Caenorhabditis elegans: one gene and its partners. The protein of the gene in region 1 purifies or fractionates together with the protein of each later gene. This does not show direct contact. Each region holds a gene or a part of one and is shown in the gene's direction. Other genes may lie near its edges. The genes, in order: rplp-2.1, nol-58, rps-19 and rps-9.

Region 1 (5,134 bases):
AAATCGATTCAGCCTAAATACTACTTTGCTTATTCCGACTTCATATTTTCAGTTAGATTTTACTGTATTATTATTGTAATATTGTTTTTTTTTTAAATAAATTCCTTTAAAATATACTGTTTCCTCTTTCAAAATTCGCCAGACAAATTATCCTTCGATCAAATAATGTGTTGCGTTACTTAAAACAAAATTTTTTGCTGATTATAGAAAACATGTGCATTATTGGGAAAAAAACCATCGTGAAACGAATAAAACTACTTTTAAAACGTTCCAATTTTCGGCCGTCAGGACCACATTTTTTAAACACATTTTTTATGGACGCTACTATTGTAAAAACTGAACTATCGATCCGTCAATTCCGCAAAAAGCAGCGTCCAACATAAGGAGGGGTGAGCATTATTTCGCAACTCCCCGGAATGGTTTTTTCGTCCGTTATCCAGCGTTTTTTGCTGATTTTTTTCCACAAAATTTACAATTTTACTTGTTTTATTCTTTTTTTCGAACGAAAATTATATCCAATTTAATGATCATGAGATTGTGAGCACGTTTCATGTTTTTACAATCAATTTAGCAAACATTTTTCATTCGAAAAAAAGTAAAACCGAAACTTTATCGAAGAAATCAACAAAACTGCAGTAGAAAAACCGTGCCATGCGAAATTGTGCCCCGCCTATCTTTCTGTGAGACGCTGCTTTTTTCGAAATTAACAGATCGATCTTACAGTTTTGACAGAATTAAACTACTTACAAACTATTCCGTTTAGGTCATACAAACTGACAAAACTATTGGATAAGAACGATAGATAGGATGCAAAGTTGATTAGGAAGACAATGCTCCAGATTGAAAGCTACAGGGTCAACATACTAACTATGCGATCGAGAAAACAATGCTTACCGATACTTTTTCGATCCTCCTCGTTCGTCTTTCCACTCGCCACTGTATCATTGGAAATCGCCGACGTGACACGAGCTGTGTCCGACGGCGACGGAACAACAATCAAGCTTTTCACCAGCTTTTCAGTCGCGATGCCGACTCCGTCAGCCGTCTCGTCCTCAACTGACGACTCTTCGATAAGCGGTGGCAACGTGTTTGCAGTTGTTGGAGTACTTGCGCAAGACGTACTCGCTTCTGAAGTCATTGATATCTCGGCACTGGGACTCCGAAGAGACTCACCGATGCCTGACGATGAGGTGGACAGAGAGGAGAGCAGTGCGGTCGCTGAAGACGGTCGCACAATATCTCCCACCTTTTCGATGTCTGGAAATTTATAAAATGGCTGAGCGGCAAGTCTGATATAATTACACGACATCTAAGATTGCAAATCTCAAAAATTCTAATTAATCTTGAGAAGTAAATTAATTCATCCAAAAAAAAGCAAAAATTCGTTTTTCAGGAAATTTTTTTGAAAATTTAACGTGCATTTTGCAATTTTTAAATCAAAGCTTACTAGATTGAAGCGGCGGTGTACGTGAGTGAGGAATTGTGGACCACGTTGAGGAAGCCGCAGAAGAAGTATGTGCTGAGGCAGACGCTGCTCCCCGCATCGACCGACACGACCATTCAGCGCCAACTATTTTTTCTGAAATTTTCTGCAAATATAACAATTGAATTCGTCGGACCAATTATCAGATTATTCGAAAAACCATAGTCAGAGAATTTTAATCAAAATAGCATAAAAATCAATTTATAACGACTTGATATCTACTTAAGAGAACTTTTGAACGAAGAAGATTTTTCTAACAAATATAGTCTTGGGGAATTATAAATAGTTCGTTTCTCCTTTACTGTAAAAAGTTTTTTGAAATTTAAGCCAAAACTGATAAGTATTTTAGTTTTCTACGGCGCGAAATTTGAATTGCCTGAAGGGAAAAGTGCAAGGAAAATCAATAATGGGGCGGAGTTTTGGTAGAGAAATGCGATAGGGACGTCGAAAAGCTGTTCTTCTTGCACCCAAAAGTCAAAAATGGAATATCTGAAAATCAGAAACTATCCTGATGACGTAGTTTGCGCATGGCAGTTCGGCGGTTCCGAAAGAACGGCGGACACTCACGGTCGTAACGCGACCGCGACGCAGCACCACCGCGTCGCGGTCGATTTGATACTCAACCGATTACTCAATGTCTGCAATCATTCAGGCTTTTTTAAAAGCAGATATCAACATAACAGACTAATAAAAGAAAGATGTAGCTATGAAATATGGAACTTTTGAAATTGTAAATTACATTACAGATTCGACTTCAAAAATCGATAACGGAATTCTTCACTTTTAGATGATGCTTTAATGCAGTGTATTAAGTTATCAAATTTTTATAAAGCATCAGACAGTAGAACTGACGTGAAAGTGCTCTTTGCTGAAAATGGCTGAAAATCGAGCCAATTTGCGTAAATTGGTCAATTATTAAAATATCGCACACGTGAAACGAGTGATACCGTACCCGAACTGGCGTCTCGGATAGACTTCTGTGTCTGCACTCTCTTTTCTCCTTCGAAACTCATGAAATCCTAAATTTTTTGCCTCTTTTTTCGAGTTTTTAACTGAAAATGGCCGTTTGTTACACCTTTTTTAAAAATTAATTTGTTTAAAATGATAGTGCTTTAAAATTTGTTCAGAAAATAACGAATTAATGTTTTCTGAAGTCATAGTGAATTTATCTTCCATCGCGAATTTGTCGGAGTGGTTTATTTTTTCTTTTGATTGGAACTTTTTGATAAAATAAATAAATAGTTTTTTACAAACTTATTTTTCTAGCTTCTTTATCTGAACACGTTTATTCACAACTTATTTTGTTTTCTTATCAAAATTTTGGACCTGTTAAACTTATATTTTCAGCCATGAAGTACTTGGGAGCTTATCTTCTCGCCACCCTCGGTGGAAATGCCTCCCCATCTGCACAAGATGTCCTTAAGGTCCTCGGTAAGTTTTATATCACGTTTTTCCGATATAAATACTTATATTGCAGAAGCCGGAGGTCTCGACTGCGACATGGAGAACGCCAACTCCGTCGTCGATGCCCTCAAGGGAAAGACTATCTCCGAGGTTATCGCCCAGGGCAAGGTCAAGCTCAGCTCGGTCCCATCAGGCGGATCTGCCCCAGCTGCTGCCGCCCCATCAGGAGGAGCCGCACCAAAAGGCAAGTTTTGTTTCACTAATTATGACCCACATTTAAAAATAATCCATTGCGGAGCACGATTTAAAATTTCGAAGCAGTACAGGTGGCGTGAGTCACTTAAAAATTTAAGCAAGTAAGAGATTTTGAATACTATGTGCTCCGCAGTAGTAATTTTTTATCTGGGTACGCAGAAGATCCCTATTTTTTTTAAATTCAAATGTTTCAGCCGAAGAGAAGAAGAAGGAGGAGCCAAAGGAGGAATCCGACGACGACATGGGCTTCGGTCTCTTCGACTAAATGTGTTGTTAAAGTTGTTATTCGTCATTCAATGAACGATTTAAAAAAATTTGCTCGAAAGTCGCGATGTAGAATTGTTTGAAACTTTGGGGAAAATGCCGTTATATGAATTTATCTAATTTTTGAGTCTCGAACAAACAATCCGGAATTTACATTTAGCAATCAAAGAGTGATCATGTTGAAGCCCAGCCTAAATGCTGCTGCGAAATGGATGATTCGAAATACAATAGTTAGCAATGAAAGTCTAACTCCAGAAATCAATCTTCATCTTATTACAATTGCTAGTCCACTGTGGATGAGCACTCCCGATGCTTGTCCTCTTCCAGATCCCTATTGGGCATTCTATTGGCCTGGCGGCCAAGGCCTATCAAGGTTCATTCTTGATAATAAACCTTTGTTTCAAGGATCAGAAATTGTCGACTTCGGCGCCGGCTGTGGTTCAGCCTCGATATCTGCTTCTATTTGTGGAGCGAAGAAGATTCTAGCAAACGACATTGATAGATGTTTGTTTTTGAGATTGAAGTTAATCAGTGTAGAATGAGCTACTTATTTCAGATGCACTTCTATCCACGAAGCTCAATTTCCATCTGAACAATTTAAGAGATTCAAAGATTCAATACTCTTCGATCAATTTTTTAGATGATAAAAATGAAAGAATGTCCACTCAATTTTTCACTGACTCCAAAAATATCAGAAAATTCATTCTCCTAGGTGACATGTTTTACGATTCTGACTTTGCTGAACTTCTTTTTTCGTGGCTTAAAAAGTAGGAATATCTCAAAATTGGTGCAAAAACATATAATTAAATTCTACAGAATTCAAGATGCACATATGGTCAGAGTACTTGTTGGTGACCCCGATCGTCATCCACTAGCCGAATCCGAATACTTGCAACGGTGAATACTTTGCAATTTCATTTTCAAATAGAAAATGTTTCTCATAACCTCATAAATTCGGTTTACAGATACAAAACGAAGTTCACCAAAAATCAATTGGCCGAGTTTTCACTTCCAGGATACGTCATTAAGGAACATTACGGATTCAATACTGCGAAAGTATTTGAATTAAAATTCCAATAACTGTTAAATTTAAACTGAATTAGTCTTTCAGGAATAAAATTGTTGAACTTTACTAGAAACTATTGTAACTGGCCTCTAACGGAAAGAAAATCATTCCAGGACAATCTAGGAGCTCCAAAGTCTTACAGACAAAGGATGCATCGGAACTTTGAAAAAAACTCCTATAGAAGTTGAAAGGATTTTTCGAATTTAGGCTCGTGGAATTGTTAACTGCTATTGCTCAGACGCAAAATTTTGCCATTTTGTGCCAAAAATACGGTACCTGGTCTCGACACGACAATTATTGTCAAATACAAACGGGTTTGCGCTTTTTAAAGTACTTTTAAAGTACAAATTTTCACCGATTTTTCATAGCTTTTCGTTGAAAAAAAACATATGTACTCATTAAAAAACTAACATTTTAACAATTAAAAAAGAAACATACATTTTACTTAACAAGTCGTGACAAAAACTATGAAAAATCGATGGAAATTCCTCGTTAACGAAAGTTTTAAAGCTACAGTACTCCTTAAAGACGCATACCTGTTTGTACTTGACATAAATTTTCGTTTCTACACTTATGTTATATTTAGTACGCGATTAAGTATCTTGTACAATAGTTGTTCTATCATTAACGTATACAATTCAATTCTTCAAGATAAAAATTCA
Region 2 (6,588 bases), 3.5 Mb from region 1:
GTGTTCCCGTAATATTTGCAGATTGACGCCCAAATTTATCCTAGGAACAGCTCCCAGCCGATTTAAAACTAAATGTTTGCTTTAAAAATCCAATTTTCATCTTTTTTCCAGTTATCTATTCTGCTACATTCCTCCAAATAACGAGCATCCGCCGAGCTGTGTGAGCAAAGTTCGTCGAAACGGAGTTTGCAGAGGATTCGAGGATTATCCTATTTGTTACTGGGGTCAATGTGTTGATGGGCGGTGTGATGAGACGGTGAAGGCGCCGAAAAGGCTGGAGAAATTCAAGAAGTTTGAGAAGAAAATTGTTCCTTTCATTATGTAAAGTATAATTTTCATTTCTCATATATAATTTTGGGTATAGCTTTCAAAGTTCAGGTTTTCTTTTTCTTTTTCGAAATCCATGTTTTGTCCCCATGTCCCAGTATTCTAGTCAATTCTTTTTTCCTAAAATAAATATACAATTTTTCGCAATATATAAACATGTTATTACACAAACATAGACTGGGTTAAGAATGGAATGAGTAATTTCAAAATTATTTTCCAACCGGGGAAGGGGTGCGATTACATTGATACATAAGAAATGGAATCTAAAACGAAGCAATCAAGAAAAAAAGAATCAATAATTTGATTTATTAAAGCTTTCCAGTGCATTTCGAGAGCTTTTCCTTGGTCCTTTCGATGTCGATTCCCTGAAAATTTCCAAATTAAAAAATATAGAAATATTCGCTACTGGCACCTCACTTTTCGCGAATTAGTTGCTTGATAAGTTGTTGGTCACGTTCCCGGCCTTCCCGCTCGGATTGTAGTTCTGCTTCAAGTTGTGTAATCCTTTTCTTCATCTCATCATACTCCTCGTCCTTCTGCAGTTGCAGCTCTTTCGCTTTATTTCGACTTTTCCGGACGGCATCATTGTTTCGAGCCCGTTTCAATTTATAGATGGGCTCCACTTTCTCCTTATCCGGCTTTAGATTGTATTTTCGAGCCTTGGTTTTTGGCACGAAATTTGGTACCGCTGCAGCAGTCTTTTTGGAACTTTTTGGTTTGTAATAAGAATCATCGACACTTTCATCGTTATCCGAAAGCGATGTTTCTCCTTCTTCCTGATAATCGTCGTAACACGAAGGTCGTTTAATAGCTCGGCGAGTTGTCATAGTTTTCGAAGTTTTCATCGTTTCCGGCTTCTTCTCCTCCTCGGTCTTCACCTCGAAATTCATTTTATATCCGTCTTGTTCCTCGTATTCACCGGGATTTCGAAAACCGGGGCCATAAGCCACGTGCCGTTCGTATGGATTTAGTTGCGGCTGCTCGTAAGAGTCATCATCGTAGAGAATATTTGCTTTTTGAAGTTCAGCATCATTTAAGTCGACATTATCCGCAGGAACATCCAAATCGGTAAAGCATTGTAGATAATTATCCAGATCCAGCTGGGTTTCCATAAAATCCACAGGATTTCGTTCCCGATCACGTTGTTGGAGGGATGCGGCGAGAGCAAGTGAGTCCTGAAATTTTTCGTTTTAAAATTTTTTTGAAGAAAATTTGGCACGGTGCAATTTTCTTCAAAGAAAAATATTTTTTAATTTAAAATTTTTTAATTTCTTGAGATGGCAGAATTTCAAATTTGTGAACCTAGTCCGCGGCCATGACCGCGACGCAACTGCACAGCGGAGCGGCTCGAATAAAATATTTATTTTATTCCGTTTTTTCGCCCAGTGATTTTTCAACGTTTTAGCTGATTCTTTTTGCTTAAAATGAGCGAAAAATTAAAAATAACTTTTTTAATTGAGCTGAGTCGCAGCCTCAACTTTTTCAGTAAATTCTGTCATCATAATGTTTTGTTTAGCATTTTTTTCAGGGGATGATTTCGGAGCATTGTTATAATATTTTCTTCGAGAAAAATGTTTCGCAGATCTCCATTTCCGTGAAACTTCCAAAAATCTCACTTGTCTTGTGAACATTCCAGCGGCCGCCGACGTCGACGCTCCATTATCCGGCATATCCGTTAACTCGTGAAATCGAGGCGGATTTCCCATCGATTTATTTCCTCGGGAGTAGTTGTAGTTGTACATTCTGGAAAAAAATCAATTTAATTGGTTTTCTTCGAAATCTTCAAAAAATCGATATTTACACTGACTATTTAAATTTTGAATCTTCGTTGCGAATTTATACTTTTAACTAAAAATCTATGGAAATACGTTCCAGAAAATCAAAAATGCGGGTAAAAGCGGGTCAAAAGTGAGTGGCATGACCTTATGAATCACTCGGCTTTGCGAAAATGTTCGAGAAAACCGATTTGCGTCAACATGGGCAGTGCTGACGCGTTTCGCACCGAATTTTCGGGTTTTCGCAATACTTTCTTCTAAATGGGGATTTTCCGGTTGGAAATTCTGAATTTTTGAGGAGAAAATCGAGAAAATAATTGCAGAAAAGTTATGGGAACTGATTTTCTGATAAAATGAGCAAAATCGACCGGTGAACTGGCAAAAAAGAGCAATTAACGAAGAGATTTATTTTTAAAGATAAAAAAAAGCTTTTAACAAGCAAAAATTCTAGAATTATATGAAAAAAGTTGAATTTTTAATAAGTTAAAATCGAAATGTCACGTGAAATATATTAATTATCGATTTTTTAAATTGTAAGGTTTTCGCTTCGAAGAAAAATCAATTCTAGCTATGTTAAAGCATAATTCAACGAGAAGAATGTGCAAAATACAGAAATATATGGCGAAAATTCTCTTTTCGCCATAAAAAAGTTTGCAAGCAAGGAAATTGCCGGTATTTTTTCATATTTTGAAGGAAAAAATTACATTTTTAAGATCCAATTTCGAAGAAGTCAATTGTTCTGCAACATTCCACGAGAAAAACATCCGGTTTCGAAGTTTTTCACAGATTTATCAATTAATCACACGAAAATCTGCAGATTAATCTGCGAGAATATTTGTGTGGAACGACTTGTCCGAGAGGAGTACACAGGCGTTGATTTCAAACTCCCGCGCGCGGGTCTCGCAACGATTGTTTTCTTTGGCTGTCTGCCAGCGATATTTTCTCCTCTTTTTTTGGCTAAACTGGTCCTATTTTCGAATAATTTCAGCCAAATTTCCAAGTTTTTATCTAAATTTTTGAAGGAAAGTGTATAAAATGATAATTTAAATGTAGTTTTGTCAAAAATATCCCTGAAATGTTGAAAAATCAGTCTAAAAACTTTATTTTCAGAGTGTAATTTAAAAATATCGATTTTACGTCTTTAATCTTATCTTATGATGTCCTTATTCTCTTAACCGGTTCATTACTTTATTTGCTATTTTACAGGTAAGAAGATGCTGGTCCTTTTCGAGGTCGCAGCCGGTTATGCAGTATTCAAGCTCAGCAATGAGAAGAAGCTGAAGAATGTGGATAACATCTGGGAGGAGTTCAGCACTGCCGAGAAGGCTCAAGAAAAGTATATATTAGAAATTAAATTCATTTTTTAAAACTGTTTTTCTTACAGCTTGCAACTGGTTTCTTTCAAGAAGTTCAAGACTACCGCTGGAGCCGTCGAGGCTACTTCCGAGATCACAGAGGGAAAGCTCAGCAAGACGTTAAAGAAGCTTTTGAAGTCGAGCGTCGACGAGACCGAAAAATTGGCTGTCGGTGATGCCAAGCTCGGAAACTTGATCAAGGAGAAGCTCTCTTTGAATTGCGTCCATGACAGTTCCATCAACGAGCTGATGAGAGGAGTTCGCGCTCATATCGAAGACTTGCTCGCCGAGCACAAGGAAGAGATGAATGCCATGAATCTCGCCGTGGCTCACTCGCTCGCTCGTTACAAGGTCAAATTCAACCCAGAAAAGATCGACACCATGATCGTGCAGGCTGTTTCTTTGCTCGATGATCTTGACAAGGAGTTGAACAACTATGTTATGCGTGTCAGAGAATGGTACGGATGGCATTTCCCAGAGCTCGGAAAGACTATCCAAGATCATCAAGCTTATGCTAAGGTAGGCTCACAGTGGTGAATTATCCGTATTAAATTATTTAATTTTCAGATTATCAAGGCCATTGGCATGCGACAGAACTGCATCAACACCGATTTGTCATCGATTCTTCCAGAGGAGTTGGAGGAGAAGGTCAAAGAGGATGCTGAGATTTCAATGGGAACTGACATTTCTGATATTGATCTCATTCACATCAAGGGTCTTTGTGACCAGGTCATCGAGCTCTCTGCCTACCGGTTAGTGAATTTATACAATTTCTTATTCAAAACAAATTATTTTTTAAATTTTTTCAGTGCTCAACTCTTCGACTACCTCAAAAATCGCATGACTGCTCTCGCTCCAAATCTCACAGTTCTTCTCGGAGAGCTCGTCGGAGCCCGTCTCATTTCTCACGCTGGATCTCTCGTTTCGTTGGCCAAGGCACCAGCCTCGACGATTCAAATTCTTGGAGCCGAGAAGGCTCTTTTCCGTGCTCTCAAGACGAAGAAGGATACTCCAAAGTACGGATTGATCTACCACGCTCAACTTATCACACAAGCCCCACCAAAGGTCAAGGGAAAGGTTAGTTAAATACTTTATTGATTTTTCTGTTAAACTTAAAAATCGGCAAGGACCTTAAAAATTTTTTTTTTTTAATTCCAGATGGCTCGTAAGCTCGCTGCCAAGTGCTCTCTTGCCACTCGTATCGACGCACTTTCCGACGAATCCGCCACCAACGAGATCGGAATCGAATGCCGTGCCGCCCTTGAGAACGTGCTCAGAACCGAATCAGAACGTGGGCCATCCAAAAATAAGAGCTTTGGATCCCACCGACACGACAAGTACGAGTTCAAGAGTGAAACATACGAATACGACGCGTCTGCTGACACTCCAGCCAGTCGCAAGCACAAGAGATTCGATGATAACGAGGAAAGCACGAACGCAATCAAGAAGATGAAGATCGAAGAGGTTAAGGAGGAAGATGAAGCAGAGCCAGAGAAGAAAAAGAAGAAGAAGGAAAAGAAAGCAAAGAAGGCCGATACTGATTCTGATGAAGAATAGATGCAATTGGGGTGCCGACGAGAGTGATAATCCGTTTCTTTTGTTGTAATTCGTGTTTCTGTACCACGAAGACTGTATGTTCTTGTTGATTTGACTCGTTATTTCTTGCTAGTATCAGGTTTATCAGATTTTCCCCATTGTTAACACATTCTATCTGAAATCTCTTCAAACACAAAAACTGTCTCCTCCTCAAATTAATTTTTATCGTAATCACTTGTTTTTTCTTTTTACAATTCTTTGCCCTTGTTGTTTTCCTTATTTGTTATGTTGTCCTTTCCAAAAAAAAATGTTGAGATAAAAATTGGTTTCAAAAAGCTTTTATTTTCAGGGATTATCTTATCGAGAAAAGCATGAGAAAATCAAAAATTGAAACTGTTTAATTGCCGTACCCTTTGTTTAAAGGCGCAGAGGTTAAGCGTGGTAAGACCCATATCATGATATATATATACCCATATCTATGAGGGATGCGCCTTTAAGTGGATACGGTAGTTTTTTTAAAAGTTGATTTTGTTTGTTTTTTTATTAAATTTAATTACATAACTATAAGTTTTTTCAAACGATTCTGAAACAAAATTTAAGTCAAACAAAAGGAAAAAATAAATATTTAATTAAAAAAACCTTTATTCACTGGAATCGACTCATAAACCCGTAACAACAAATGGGTTGAAAATATTAAGAAATCTTCAAAAATCACAAAAAACACTAAACTAAACGACTTTTTGAGTATCTGGAAAGTTATTCTGATGATTATTATGATGCTCATTACACATAAATCATTGAAGAAGTCTTCTGAGCAAGTGAAGCCTCTGAGCGGCCTGCAAGAAATCAGAAGAACCATTCAATTCGTCGACAATATCATCCGATGGAGGCATTAAACCGGGCGGCCCGGCCCCATGGAGAGAGAATTCGTGTGGAGGCGCAGGTGGTGATGGTGGTGATGGACCAGAAGTCGTCGGAAGTGGTGATGGTGGACTTGGTGATGCGGATATTGTAGATGTTGGCGTGGATAGGGCTGGAAATCATCGATTTTTTTTCAATCTGGGTCTTGCCACGAACTTTGAATTTCATAGAAATCGTGGTGAGAGTTAAAAAATTGTGTTTTTTTTTTCGAAAATTACCGTTAAAATTTCAGCAATATTCATTTTTCATTCTCCCGAATGTTTTACTGATATAAAACAGTTAAAATTAAATACTTTACCGTGGCCTAGGTTTTCTAGTAAGAAACCTCGACCACACTCCAAACGGAAGCATGTAAAATTAAAGGAGAATGGCTGGCCGAATTTTCACTAATTTTTTTACGCGGCCTTCTAGTTAGAAAACCTAAATCGTTTGGTGGCCTAACTTGCGAATTTCTAGGCCACTTGACCTACCTGAAATAACATTCTCCTCTATCTGATGCAACTGATGGTTCTCCGTTTCGATTTTTGCGTTAATATCTTCAAATTCCTCGTCTGGCAGAGCAATTGTGACGTCAGTGACGAGCTCCGTCGTCGTTTCTTCGGTTACTGTAGGCTCTTCAGATGTTGTTGTGGTTGTTTCTGCTGTCGTTGTAGTTATTGGAATCGCTGAAACAT
Region 3 (5,317 bases), 2.8 Mb from region 1:
TGGAACATCTTTAATGACGTTATCAACCGTGAATTGTACCTTGTATCTTCCGAGACCATCACGCTCCGAAAGAACGACAGCGGGATAAAACATCTTCTGAAACACAGCGTAGACTCGAGCTCCAGGAGCATGAGGTTCATTATCGTCTTGTGGATGATCAACTAGTAGTTGATCCTCATCAGATAGATTTTTAAGAGGAATAACTGGTTCTTTTTTCGCCGGAGGTGTTTTGATGTCAGAAGCTTCACTTTTTCTCTTTCTTCCACGATTTGACGAAGCTGGGGTAGCAGTTGCAGGCGCATCTTCCATTTCAATATCATTTTCGTGATGTTCTTCCTCCTTTTTAGCTCTTGATCTTCTTCCCGAAGTTCCTACAGACGATACTCTATGCTTCATCTTATCTTTACCAGGAGTCATATCAGCAAGAGAACGCCGATTCTTAGCAGCAGGAGAAGCTGAAAGCATAGATATTCTTAATTTCAAGAAACTACAAAACAACTTACATTGTAACTCAGCAATTCTAGACTCTGCCGCCTTCTCTGTCATAGAATACTTTGACTCTGAATTACCCAATTTGGCATACTTGACAGCACCAAAATTGTGCACTTCCATCTGAAAACAAGCAAAATTACAGATAAACATTAATTTTTAATTCTCACGTGAATATTCTTCAAAGGTTCTGGATGATGCTCCATTTCAGTATCAAGATCATATGGATCATATTCTGCACTTTTCTTGCTCGATGAAGGCGCACTTTTAGCTGCTCCACGACCTTTCTTTTGTGGTAGAGTTTCTTCAATAGTCTCATCAGCTTCTTCGATAGGGTCTTCTGTGATAGAACCTTGCTTCTTTCTTCCACGAACTGTCGTTCGTTTATTTGTCACAGCCGGCGTCACCGGAGCAGATTTTGCAGGAGGCTTAGCCCTTGTAGATCTACGAGATGATGTTGGAGTTTCGACTTTCTCAGCTTCTACACTTTCCATAGTTTCAGCATCAGCATTAGAACGCCTTCCTCGCGGAGTTCGGGTGGACTTCGCTTGGTTTGTATCGTGAGTTTTTGTAGGGTCTTCGGTTTCTTTTTCTTGCAAGTTTTCCTCATTTGCTTGCGACTTTCTTCCTCTTCCTCTTGTGGACCGCGGTGTTGGCACTGCAGACGAAGTTGCTGAAGAAGATGCAGCTGAACGTCTTCCACGCCCCTGTTTCGGAGTTTCTTCTTCAGTTGGATGTTCCGTGTTTTCAACTTCCTCGGTGACAGATGTGTCTTCTGTTGCAACAGAGCGTCTTGATCTTCCCTTGCGCGGTGATGTTTCTTCAACGCCAGAGTCGCCAACAACATTCTCCGTAGGATCAATTACTTCATCTCTGTCTCCACCCCTGGAAGATCGACCACGCCTGGGGGTGCTGTTACTAACAATGGGCGTTTTCGTTTCATCTGCATTCACTTCCGATTTTTGCCCACGACCACCACGGCGTGGAGTGTTTGACGAAGGAGTAGACGAAACAGTTGCTGAAACTCTTTTAGCGCGACGAGTGCTGCGGCTAGAAGATTGAGATTCTTGGTTCTCTTCATTTGCTTCTGATTCTCCATCTGGCGATTTTGAATCGAGACCAATTTTTTGAGAATCATCAACACTGTCTTGTGAAATCTCACCAACGCCTGGTTCAGACGCCTTGTCATCATTAACATTCTCAATAGGTTCACCACTATCTGCTTGCTCTTTCACTGGACTTTCTACTTCAACCTCATTTTCGGGTTCCTCTGTATCGTCCTCATTCTCTGGTTCTTCTTTCTCGTCGCTCACACTACCTCCTTTTGGAGAATCATCTTCATGCAGATCGTCGTCATCTGACGTTGACACTGCCTTCTTCAATATTAATTGATTAAAATTAGGTTTTTCGAATTATCAACAAACCTTAGTTTTCTTTTTTGGAGCTTCGTCTTCGTCGTCTTCTTGCACATCATCAATATCTTCTTCATCTTCATCTCCAACCACCTTTTCTTCATTTTCTTCAGGTTTCTCGGTATCATTTGAAACAGAAATCGATTCAGCAATGTCTAATTTATCGTCACTAGTATCCATCGAGATAATTTTTTTCTCGAAAGTTTCTCCCTCTCCTTCTTCAATTGGTGATTCAGACTTTTCCGAGTCGTTCATGCTTTCTCCAGATTTAGCATCCTTACCGGCTGAACATTGTGGCTCATCTTCTGCCTTTTCTTTATCAAGTGCAGTAACATCGGCAGCTACATCTGGCTCGTCTTCCGCTTCTATGATAACTGATGACTTGGTAATGACACTCGAATCGACTATGTGCCCATCAGGAGTTGAATCTCTAGCTGGGGTCTAAGTAAGCAAATTTTAGATTAATACAAACACACTGGACTTACAGAAATCACAGCAGAGTTCCCAAAAAGACTCCTACTTTTATCCAGAACTGAAGTTGTTGTGGGGAGGCTGAAATAGTGGGATAAATATGTATGGATACTCGAAAAGCAGGTAACCTTGTCTGTGTGACGGTGGAGTCGTCTTCTTCGAATTCTGAAAACAGAAAATAAAAGGAAAACTTCACGTAAGTTAAGTTTAATTTTTAGAGTCGATATTCACTTCGAGTGACCACCTTAATTTCAATAAGGTTGAATTTTATATGCTTGACCCGCAAAAATATTAATTAACCTTTCACATTCTTATTATATCGAAAAAATTACCCATAGTGTTCGAAGACGATGCCATTTTCCTCCAAGCAGTTCAGTTCTTCAAGTCTATGCTGTAACATATGTGTTTAATTTTGCCATTTTAAGCGTAAAAGTGTCTGCGAAACAAAAAGTTACGACGTCAAAAAAAATCGTTTGAAAATTCAATTCAAACGCCCGCCCCCGCTGTTCAAAAAATGTACTGAGTGTCGCCCGGTGCGTTGCGGTCGCGTGCCGAGTCGCTACGCAGCCAATTGGTATGCAGGTTATGTCTTACGATCAGCGGTGAAGAATTTTTTCGTTTCTTTTCCTACAGGTTTTTTCAATTTTTTGACGCGATTTTCACGGTTTTTCGAGTTTCTATGTATTGATTGGGAGGAAATATGTTACGTTTACAGTTTTCTTAAATAATATCCACTTTCTGAAGCGCTTGTTGTTAAGAATAGTTTTTTTGGCAGTGGGTTTTCTTTCCGTCTTCTAATATACGATTTTTTCAAAGCTATACTTTTCCTTTTCAGGTAAAATGACGAGAGCGACCTCCATCAAGGACGTCGACCAGCACGAGGCTACCAAGTCCATCGCTCACTTCTTGAAGAAGAGTGGAAAGGTTAAGGTTCCAGAGTGGTCCGATCTTGTTAAGCTCGGAGTCAACAAGGAGCTTGCCCCAGTCGATCCAGATTGGTTCTACACCCGTGCTGCCAGTCTTGCTCGTCACTTGTATTTCCGCCCCGCCGGTAACTTTTTATTGACAAAATCATTACTTATTTTTCTATTTAGGAATCGGAGCCTTCAAGAAGGTCTACGGAGGAAACAAGAGACGTGGTGTTGCACCAAACCATTTCCAAACCTCAGCTGGAAACTGCCTCAGAAAGGCTGTTCAGCAACTCGAGAAGATCAAGTGGGTTGAGAAGCACCCAGACGGCAAAGGAAGAATTCTCTCCAAGCAGGTGAGTATTCTATTTTATTATCTAAAAATATAAAATTCGAACTTTTTTGTAAAAATAAATTATTAAAAATTATTCATAAATATATGCGCTGAAAATTAAACATGCAAAATTAGATGTTTATATTAAAATTAAATTTCTGCATGTTTTCTTTTTTGAATTTTCTCGAAATTTTCAACATCGTACTAAAACTAAATTTTGCAGGGACGCAAGGATCTTGACAGAATCGCCACCAGCCTCAGATCCTCTGGACAACAAGCCTAAACACTCGTTGTTTGTGTTATAAATGTTGTTGTTATAAAAAACTTCATGATACATCTCCATTAACAAGAAAGTAAGATGATGGCGCAAATTATGAATCAGAAAAAAAAGTTATTAAAGAAAAACTTCGCCCGAAACGTTTGAATATATACACCTGTATAGTTCTCACTTTTTTGAATAGTGAAATAATCAGTCTACAAAATATTATACGTCTTTAGTGGACCTTAGAACAAAGCTACAGAACTTGAATACAATCATTAATATATCTACTTGCTCTTCCGAAATCAAATTTGAAACATTATTAGCAGAAACTAACTTCCTATTCTGATACCCAAATTATTTCGCTAAACATCGCGAAAGGCATTTCTGATAAAGAAAATAAAATACAGGGTTAAGCTATTTATGGTTTCACAAACTTGCGATCAATTGGAAGTCGGAAAAATTTTAAAGATTAGTTATCATACAACGATAGATACAATTTTTAAATGAATGTTGGTGGACATTTATTTAGATGTAGAAAAGCGGAATCTAGCAAGTTCGCATGCGAACTTCTCGTTGTGAATTGCCGTGAACAAAATGTTCTTCTTATCTTGGGAAATCTGGAGCAATGCACACGCACCTCCGTGCCAAACAGTCCTACCCGGAGTAGATGATACCTCGCCATTCGATGAAGTTCCTGATACACCCGAACCAGATCGGTCTAAAAATTCAACTTTTAACTAGAAATAATTATCTAGAAATAAACCTCGAGATTGAGTCTCATCACTTGAGTTTTGTTTACTGTGCTGCCCTGAGGACATGTTTTTGGATTCGGCGTTCGTCGGAGTAACTCCTGCTTCTTCTATATTTGATTCCGATGGAGGAGTCGAAGGTCCGGAACCAGGAAGAGAGCTTCCATACCCAGACGAAAGAGATTCTTTTTGAAAACCACGTGTCGATTGCAGGCCATCGGGACGCAACACTTTCCACTCACGATATAGAACGTACGAAATATAGTTGTTCTTTTCAACAGCCTTCGTAAGCGGAGACGATCTGAATTAAGAATAATCAAAACTGCCACAAAGAACTGATTCCTCACAACTCAATATCGCTTGTCTTCGAATATTGGAGACCATTCAAAATCGGTTCGCTCTTTGATAACGGGCAATCGAGATTGATAGTGACACTCCGCAGACGGTGACCCATCTGTCCGTTTGACCACATTTGGAGAAATTCGAGAAGTTCCGAATTCGGAAGAATATAACGGTTTAAGTTGACCTCAGCCAACGAGCTCATTCTTGCCAAATCGGTAAGAGGGTTCTCAATAGTATTCTCAAAGATGATTCGTTTCGCCCAGAAGATCTGAAAATACGATGTTTTATTTAAATCGGCATAATATTTTAAAAATATCTTACCGGATAATTGCAATACGAAGTCTTCTCTA
Region 4 (5,180 bases), on another chromosome or scaffold:
ACAGGACACGAAAGGAAAAGCACGAACTGGACGAGTGCTTTACCATCCATCTGCTTGTTCCATCCTTGAAGGTTATCCTCGTTTCTCGGGAATCCGTCAACCAGGAAGCCTTTAGCATCTCCACAAGCTTTCATGGCATTCTCGAGGAGGGAACAGGTGATCTCAACAGGAACGATTGACCCATTTTTGATATGACTTTCGATGAGAGCTCCGAACTCGCTTCCTTCTCTTTGACGTTCCGCTCGAAGCAAATCTCCGGCTGATAAGTGGACGTAGTTCAAATTCTGAAACATTTTTGTTTTAAAAGAATTAAGAACTTGTCAGGAAAAACTCACCTCTTGAATTTTAGCGCAAATAGTTCCTTTTCCAGATCCAGGAGGCCCGAGAACAAAAACCACGTTGTGCATGTCGTTTCGAGTTAACGTGCCGAATGAAACACTCTGACGGGTTGAATGAAGAGTGGAGAGACTCAGACGATGAGAAGAGCGGATAAGTGCGTGGAGAGCGAACGCAACTGAAATGTTTCGATAGAATATTTGACTGTTCGGGGGAGCGGGGGAGGAACGATTACCGTCTATTCTCTATTAGTGCTGCATGCAACACTAATTTCCAGGCCCTTTTTTTAATGTAGCACTATTAGAGACTGCAGTACTACTGGAGACTGCAGCATTAATTTTCGAACAACTATTTTCAATTTTAGATCACTAGTTTTTAGACACAAAAGCTCTTTTTTTAGCAGAAATTCATAAAAATTGCGAACTTTTGTAACAAAAAGACCCCATAATTCAATTACTCTCGTAAATTATCAAAAATTCATCAAAAATATACAAAAAAATACCCAAAAATATCGAAACTATCAAGTGACTCTTTCAATAGAAAATGTGGTGCAGCACTAATAGAGACTGCAGCACTATTTTTCGGACCCTTTTTGAATGCAGCACTATTAGAGACTGCAGTACTACTGGAGATGTAGCACTAATAGAGAATATACGGTAAGTATAAAATATGCATAACTGACACGTTTTAGCACGAAAATGCAAGCTTTTTTGGTTAAGCGAGAGGAAAGAGAAGCAAGCACCACCGCTCTATCGATTTCTCCTCGTTTTCTGTGGAGATTTGGCTGCATTAGGCATGCATTTGCGAGCAGATTAGAGCGCCAAGCAACTTATTTGAGATGAACAGAAGCTGTAAGATTTTGATGCGTTGCCCAAAAACAAATAAACTTACGCATACAGTTGCAACCCGAGTCCTTGGATCTTCTAAATACGGCTTCGATGGGAATTGGAAGTTGAAAGCAATCCTCCGATATATATTCAGATCATAACACCTTCAAGTAAAAAAAAGAAATCAAAACATTTTTGAAATTGAATCAAATTAGTTTACTTCTCGTCAGAATATCAAGGAATTACATAAAATTTCAAACAAACATAGCACAAGAAAGGGAAATTTCAAATTGAAAATCGAGATGTAGAATCAACCCGTGCGACGTGTTTTCTTTTTTCAGAATACAGATTCATGCATCGTGTTCTTCTGTTTTCTCTGCTTGTCGTTTTAGGAACTTTGGCGGATTTTTGGCAATATACTCATCCTCCAGCCGACGAAATTCTTCGGGAGACACCTGAAAGGATAAATTATTAAGAGATAGATTATAGAAAAATCATTTAAAAACCTGCGTAAGTCCAGTCTCAATGGTATCATCGATTTCTCCAGCAAGCTCAACATTCTCTCCGCGAATAAGCATGAATCCTTGACCCGTTTCACAGAAGTATTTCTCAACAAATGTGCGTTCTACGACATCTTCCAATATAAGATTGGCAAATTGATCTATCGATCTCAAGAAGCCAATCAATTTCCGTCCGTCGCGGAGAACAACTAATAATTTTTTGTCAAGCTGCTCGAACAAGCTTATTGCTCCGGGTAAATAGGGATCGGGCAAGTCCATGATCTGAAAACGAAAAAATTAGATTAAAATACGAATAAAACATTGAATTCGAAGAGATTTCAAACAATAAGTGGAATTTTCGGTTAAAAACACGGGCAAAGGCTTAAATCATGAATATTTAACATTGAATGCCAGTTCCTGATAGTGTTTTTCGTTGGTAAACGTTATTTTTACTAATTTTTATTGAAATTATATGAGTTTAAGATTTATATAAGCTCAAAACTGCTATAGACTCGTTAAAATTAGCAGGAAAATATTAAAAAGAACCGAATGGAAAAGAAACGAGAGACTGTGCATGCATGAGAGGGTGTTTTTTCTCTGGTAAAGGCACACCGATTTACGCGGGTGGGTCCCGCAACGACCACCGACCGTAGTCGTCCCCACTCTTTTAGGCCGAACCTGACAATTTTTCTTTTTTTCTATTATTTTTTGGGAAAATCGCTGAATTTTTGAATGAAATTGTCAGAAAATTAATTAAAAAAATGAATTTTCATTACATTATTGTTATTTTTATCGTTAATTTGTAATTTGCTTCCCTCTGTTTTCGTTGTTGCTGCCTCAAACTTCAATTTTCTATTTATTTTTTTCAGGGTTCAACTATGGCACGTCTGAAGACTGTGCAATCTAAAGTGACAAAGTCGCCACGCCGTCCGTTCGAGAAGGAGCGCCTTGACCAGGTTTGAAATGTCAAAGTAAAATTTATATTTTAAAATTTTGTTTTACAGGAGCTCAAGCTCATCGGAACTTTCGGACTCAAGAACAAGCGTGAGGTCTGGCGTGTCAAGTACACCCTCGCCAAGGTCCGTAAGGCGGCTCGTGAGCTTCTTACTCTTGAAGACAAGGATCCAAAGCGTCTTTTCGAAGGAAATGCCCTTCTCCGTCGTCTTGTCAAGATCGGTGTCCTCGACGAGACCAAGATGAAGCTCGATTACGTTCTCGGTCTTAAGGTCGAGGACTTCCTTGAGCGCAGGCTCCAAACCCAGGTCTTCAAGCTCGGACTTGCCAAGTCTATCCACCACGCCCGTATCTTGATCAAGCAGCACCACATCCGGTTAGTTTTTGTTTCTGTATAAAAATATATTTAAAAATGAAACAGTTTTTAGAACTATCATTTTAACATTAAATTCATCTTTCGGAAAATTGATTGTTCTGGCAGTTAATTTTTTACAAATGTTTTTCGATTTAAACCAGTTAGGTATTCCTGCGCTATTTTGAAGACTGATCCAGTAGTCATTGTCCGGAATATTTCATTAAAAAATTTATTTCACTGAAAGATGACATGACAAATTACAAGATTAGTATCGACTTCAAATTCTTCTCTTTCAGTGTCCGCAGACAAGTTGTCGATGTCCCATCCTTCATCGTTCGTTTGGACTCCCAGAAGCACATCGACTTCTCTCTTCAATCTCCATACGGAGGTGGCCGTCCAGGACGCGTCAAGCGACGCACCTTGAGAAAGGGAGATGGAGCCGGAGGCGACGACGAGGAATAAATTTGTTTTGGTTACAAATAAAATTGTTGGACATAACGTCTTCCAGTGATTCGTTTTATTTTTTAAAAAGCCTTTTGGAAGAAATAGTTTTACAAGCAATTGTGCGATTCCGTTGTTCACGTCCGAGCAAATTTGAATTTAAAAAATCCAGTGCGGTTTTTCTGGAGAACTTTCGCTGGCTTGATCGAAATAGTATAAAAATCATGGAAGCCGGGGGTGTGCAGCAAATTTTTTTTAAAAAAGTAGATTTTCCGCACATCAAAAATTTAACAATACATTTTTGACCAAAACTATTGATTTTGTACAAAAAATGGCACAAAATTAAGTTATTCTGATGATCAAGCAAACACAATACATGGAACTTATTAACGAATTGAGCTCCTGCGCTTACAGAAATGAACAATCCGTTCCACGTTGGCCACGTGGGAAATATAGCCAGAAACCGGTTCTTTCTTCTGCAGCTCTGCGCGCTTCAAGTGCATTTTCCGCTATGCCTATTGATCTTTGGCATAAATTTTATTTTGAACAAATGAAAAGAGATCCGATTGTGGAAATGCTCTTTGAAAGTACTGAAGAAGGACAAAACGTGACTCGGGATGACGGAGAAAAGTGGCCAGCAATGGTTTTTGGAGCGGTTTAGGAGCGGTTTAACTGCTTGGGCCGGGGGGTGGGAGGGGGGAGGGGATGAGTTCAACTCTCCACCACGGGAAAATTTTTTGCGAATTTTTTCATCCAAAAAAAAGGAAAAAAAAGGTCCAGAAAAAACAAACAAACATTTTTTTATAGGCAAAAATAGATGGATTTTCGTAACTTTGAAAATTCATAAATATCTTGAAAGAAATTTTTTTTTAATTTTGTAGTAAATTCTGAGCTCTTTTAGAATATACAACAATATTACAGAAGGTACAAGAAGCTTCACGTAGTTACAGAAATAGTACATTTTCAGCCCTACCTTTTAGTGCGTATTTTATTATTTAATGAAAACTACCATTAATAGGCAAAAATAGGTGGATTTTCGAAACTTTGAAAATTCATAAATCTCTTCAAACTAACTTTTTTAGAAATTCCCGTAGCCATTTTGTAGCAAATTTTATGTTCTTTCAAAATTTAAAAACAGAATTTCAAAAAATTTTGAAACCGCCAAGTTCAAGCAGAAAAAGTGAATTTTCAGTCATACCTTGTAGACCACAATTTATATGCAAAATTAATAGATTTTCCAAACTTTGAAAATTCATTTCTGGCTTCAAACTAACTTTTTTAGAAATTCCCGTAGCCATTTTGTAGCAAATTTTATGTTCTTTCAGAATTTATAAAAATTATATGCAAAATTAATAGATTTTCCAAACTTTGAAAATTAATTTCTGTCTTCTAAATTTTTTAGAAATTCCCGTAGCCATTTTGTAGCAAATTTTATGTTCTTTCAGAATTTATAAAAATTATATGCAAAATTAATAGATTTTCCAAACTTTGAAAATTAATTTCTGTCTTCAAACTAAATTTTTTAGAAATTCCCGTAGCCATTTTGTAGCAAATTTTATGTTCTTTCAGAATTTATAAAAATTATATGCAAAATTAATAGATTTTCCAAACTTTGAAAATTAATTTCTGTCTTCAAACTAAATTTTTTAGAAATTCCCGTAGCCATTTTGTAGCAAATTTTATGTTCTTTCAGAATTTATAAAAATTATATGCAAAATTAATAGATTTTCCAAACTTTGAAAATTAATTTCTGTCTTCAAACTAAAT

The links.
Region 2: the proteins of rplp-2.1 (region 1) and nol-58 fractionate together in Caenorhabditis elegans (co-fractionation; one large-scale study listed by BioGRID). This does not show direct contact.
Region 3: the proteins of rplp-2.1 (region 1) and rps-19 fractionate together in Caenorhabditis elegans (co-fractionation; one large-scale study listed by BioGRID). This does not show direct contact.
Region 4: the proteins of rplp-2.1 (region 1) and rps-9 fractionate together in Caenorhabditis elegans (co-fractionation; one large-scale study listed by BioGRID). This does not show direct contact.

What each region holds. Positions count from the first base shown.
Region 1 is NC_003279.8:6,787,435-6,792,568, reverse strand, and holds rplp-2.1 (Large ribosomal subunit protein P2), read left to right. Parts: upstream 1-2,830; 5' UTR 2,831-2,832; coding exon 2,833-2,914; intron 2,915-2,960; coding exon 2,961-3,131; intron 3,132-3,336; coding exon 3,337-3,407; 3' UTR 3,408-3,530; downstream 3,531-5,134. Other genes in the region: pqn-20 (Prion-like-(Q/N-rich)-domain-bearing protein), read right to left, coding at 895-1,128, 1,174-1,257, 1,448-1,544; etfm-1 (Electron transfer flavoprotein beta subunit lysine methyltransferase homolog), read left to right, coding at 3,583-3,910, 3,963-4,173, 4,223-4,303, 4,372-4,486.
Region 2 is NC_003279.8:3,263,786-3,270,373, forward strand, and holds nol-58 (Nop domain-containing protein), read left to right. Parts: upstream 1-3,308; 5' UTR 3,309-3,316; coding exon 3,317-3,438; intron 3,439-3,486; coding exon 3,487-3,976; intron 3,977-4,024; coding exon 4,025-4,209; intron 4,210-4,266; coding exon 4,267-4,534; intron 4,535-4,615; coding exon 4,616-5,014; 3' UTR 5,015-5,327; downstream 5,328-6,588. Other genes in the region: tyr-5 (Tyrosinase copper-binding domain-containing protein), read left to right, coding at 112-325; Transcription factor zip-4, read right to left, coding at 620-692, 745-1,502, 1,944-2,069; pqn-72 (Prion-like-(Q/N-rich)-domain-bearing protein), read right to left, coding at 5,788-6,026, 6,385-6,579.
Region 3 is NC_003279.8:9,623,687-9,629,003, reverse strand, and holds rps-19 (Small ribosomal subunit protein eS19), read left to right. Parts: upstream 1-3,207; 5' UTR 3,208-3,212; coding exon 3,213-3,423; intron 3,424-3,466; coding exon 3,467-3,636; intron 3,637-3,837; coding exon 3,838-3,897; 3' UTR 3,898-3,936; downstream 3,937-5,317. Other genes in the region: Protein hsr-9, read right to left, coding at 1-455, 504-612, 660-1,865, 1,914-2,342, 2,387-2,453, 2,501-2,537, 2,705-2,729; T05F1.2 (F-box associated domain-containing protein), read right to left, coding at 4,398-4,594, 4,640-4,926, 4,973-5,235, 5,289-5,317.
Region 4 is NC_003280.10:11,123,715-11,128,894, reverse strand, and holds rps-9 (Small ribosomal subunit protein uS4), read left to right. Parts: upstream 1-2,532; 5' UTR 2,533-2,541; coding exon 2,542-2,619; intron 2,620-2,667; coding exon 2,668-2,993; intron 2,994-3,268; coding exon 3,269-3,434; 3' UTR 3,435-3,467; downstream 3,468-5,180. Other genes in the region: F40F8.1 (UMP-CMP kinase), read right to left, coding at 1-284, 336-514, 1,228-1,231; lsm-1 (U6 snRNA-associated Sm-like protein LSm1), read right to left, coding at 1,514-1,618, 1,670-1,942. UniProt on the Caenorhabditis elegans protein: Component of the small ribosomal subunit. The ribosome is a large ribonucleoprotein complex responsible for the synthesis of proteins in the cell. Part of the small subunit (SSU) processome, first precursor of the small eukaryotic ribosomal subunit.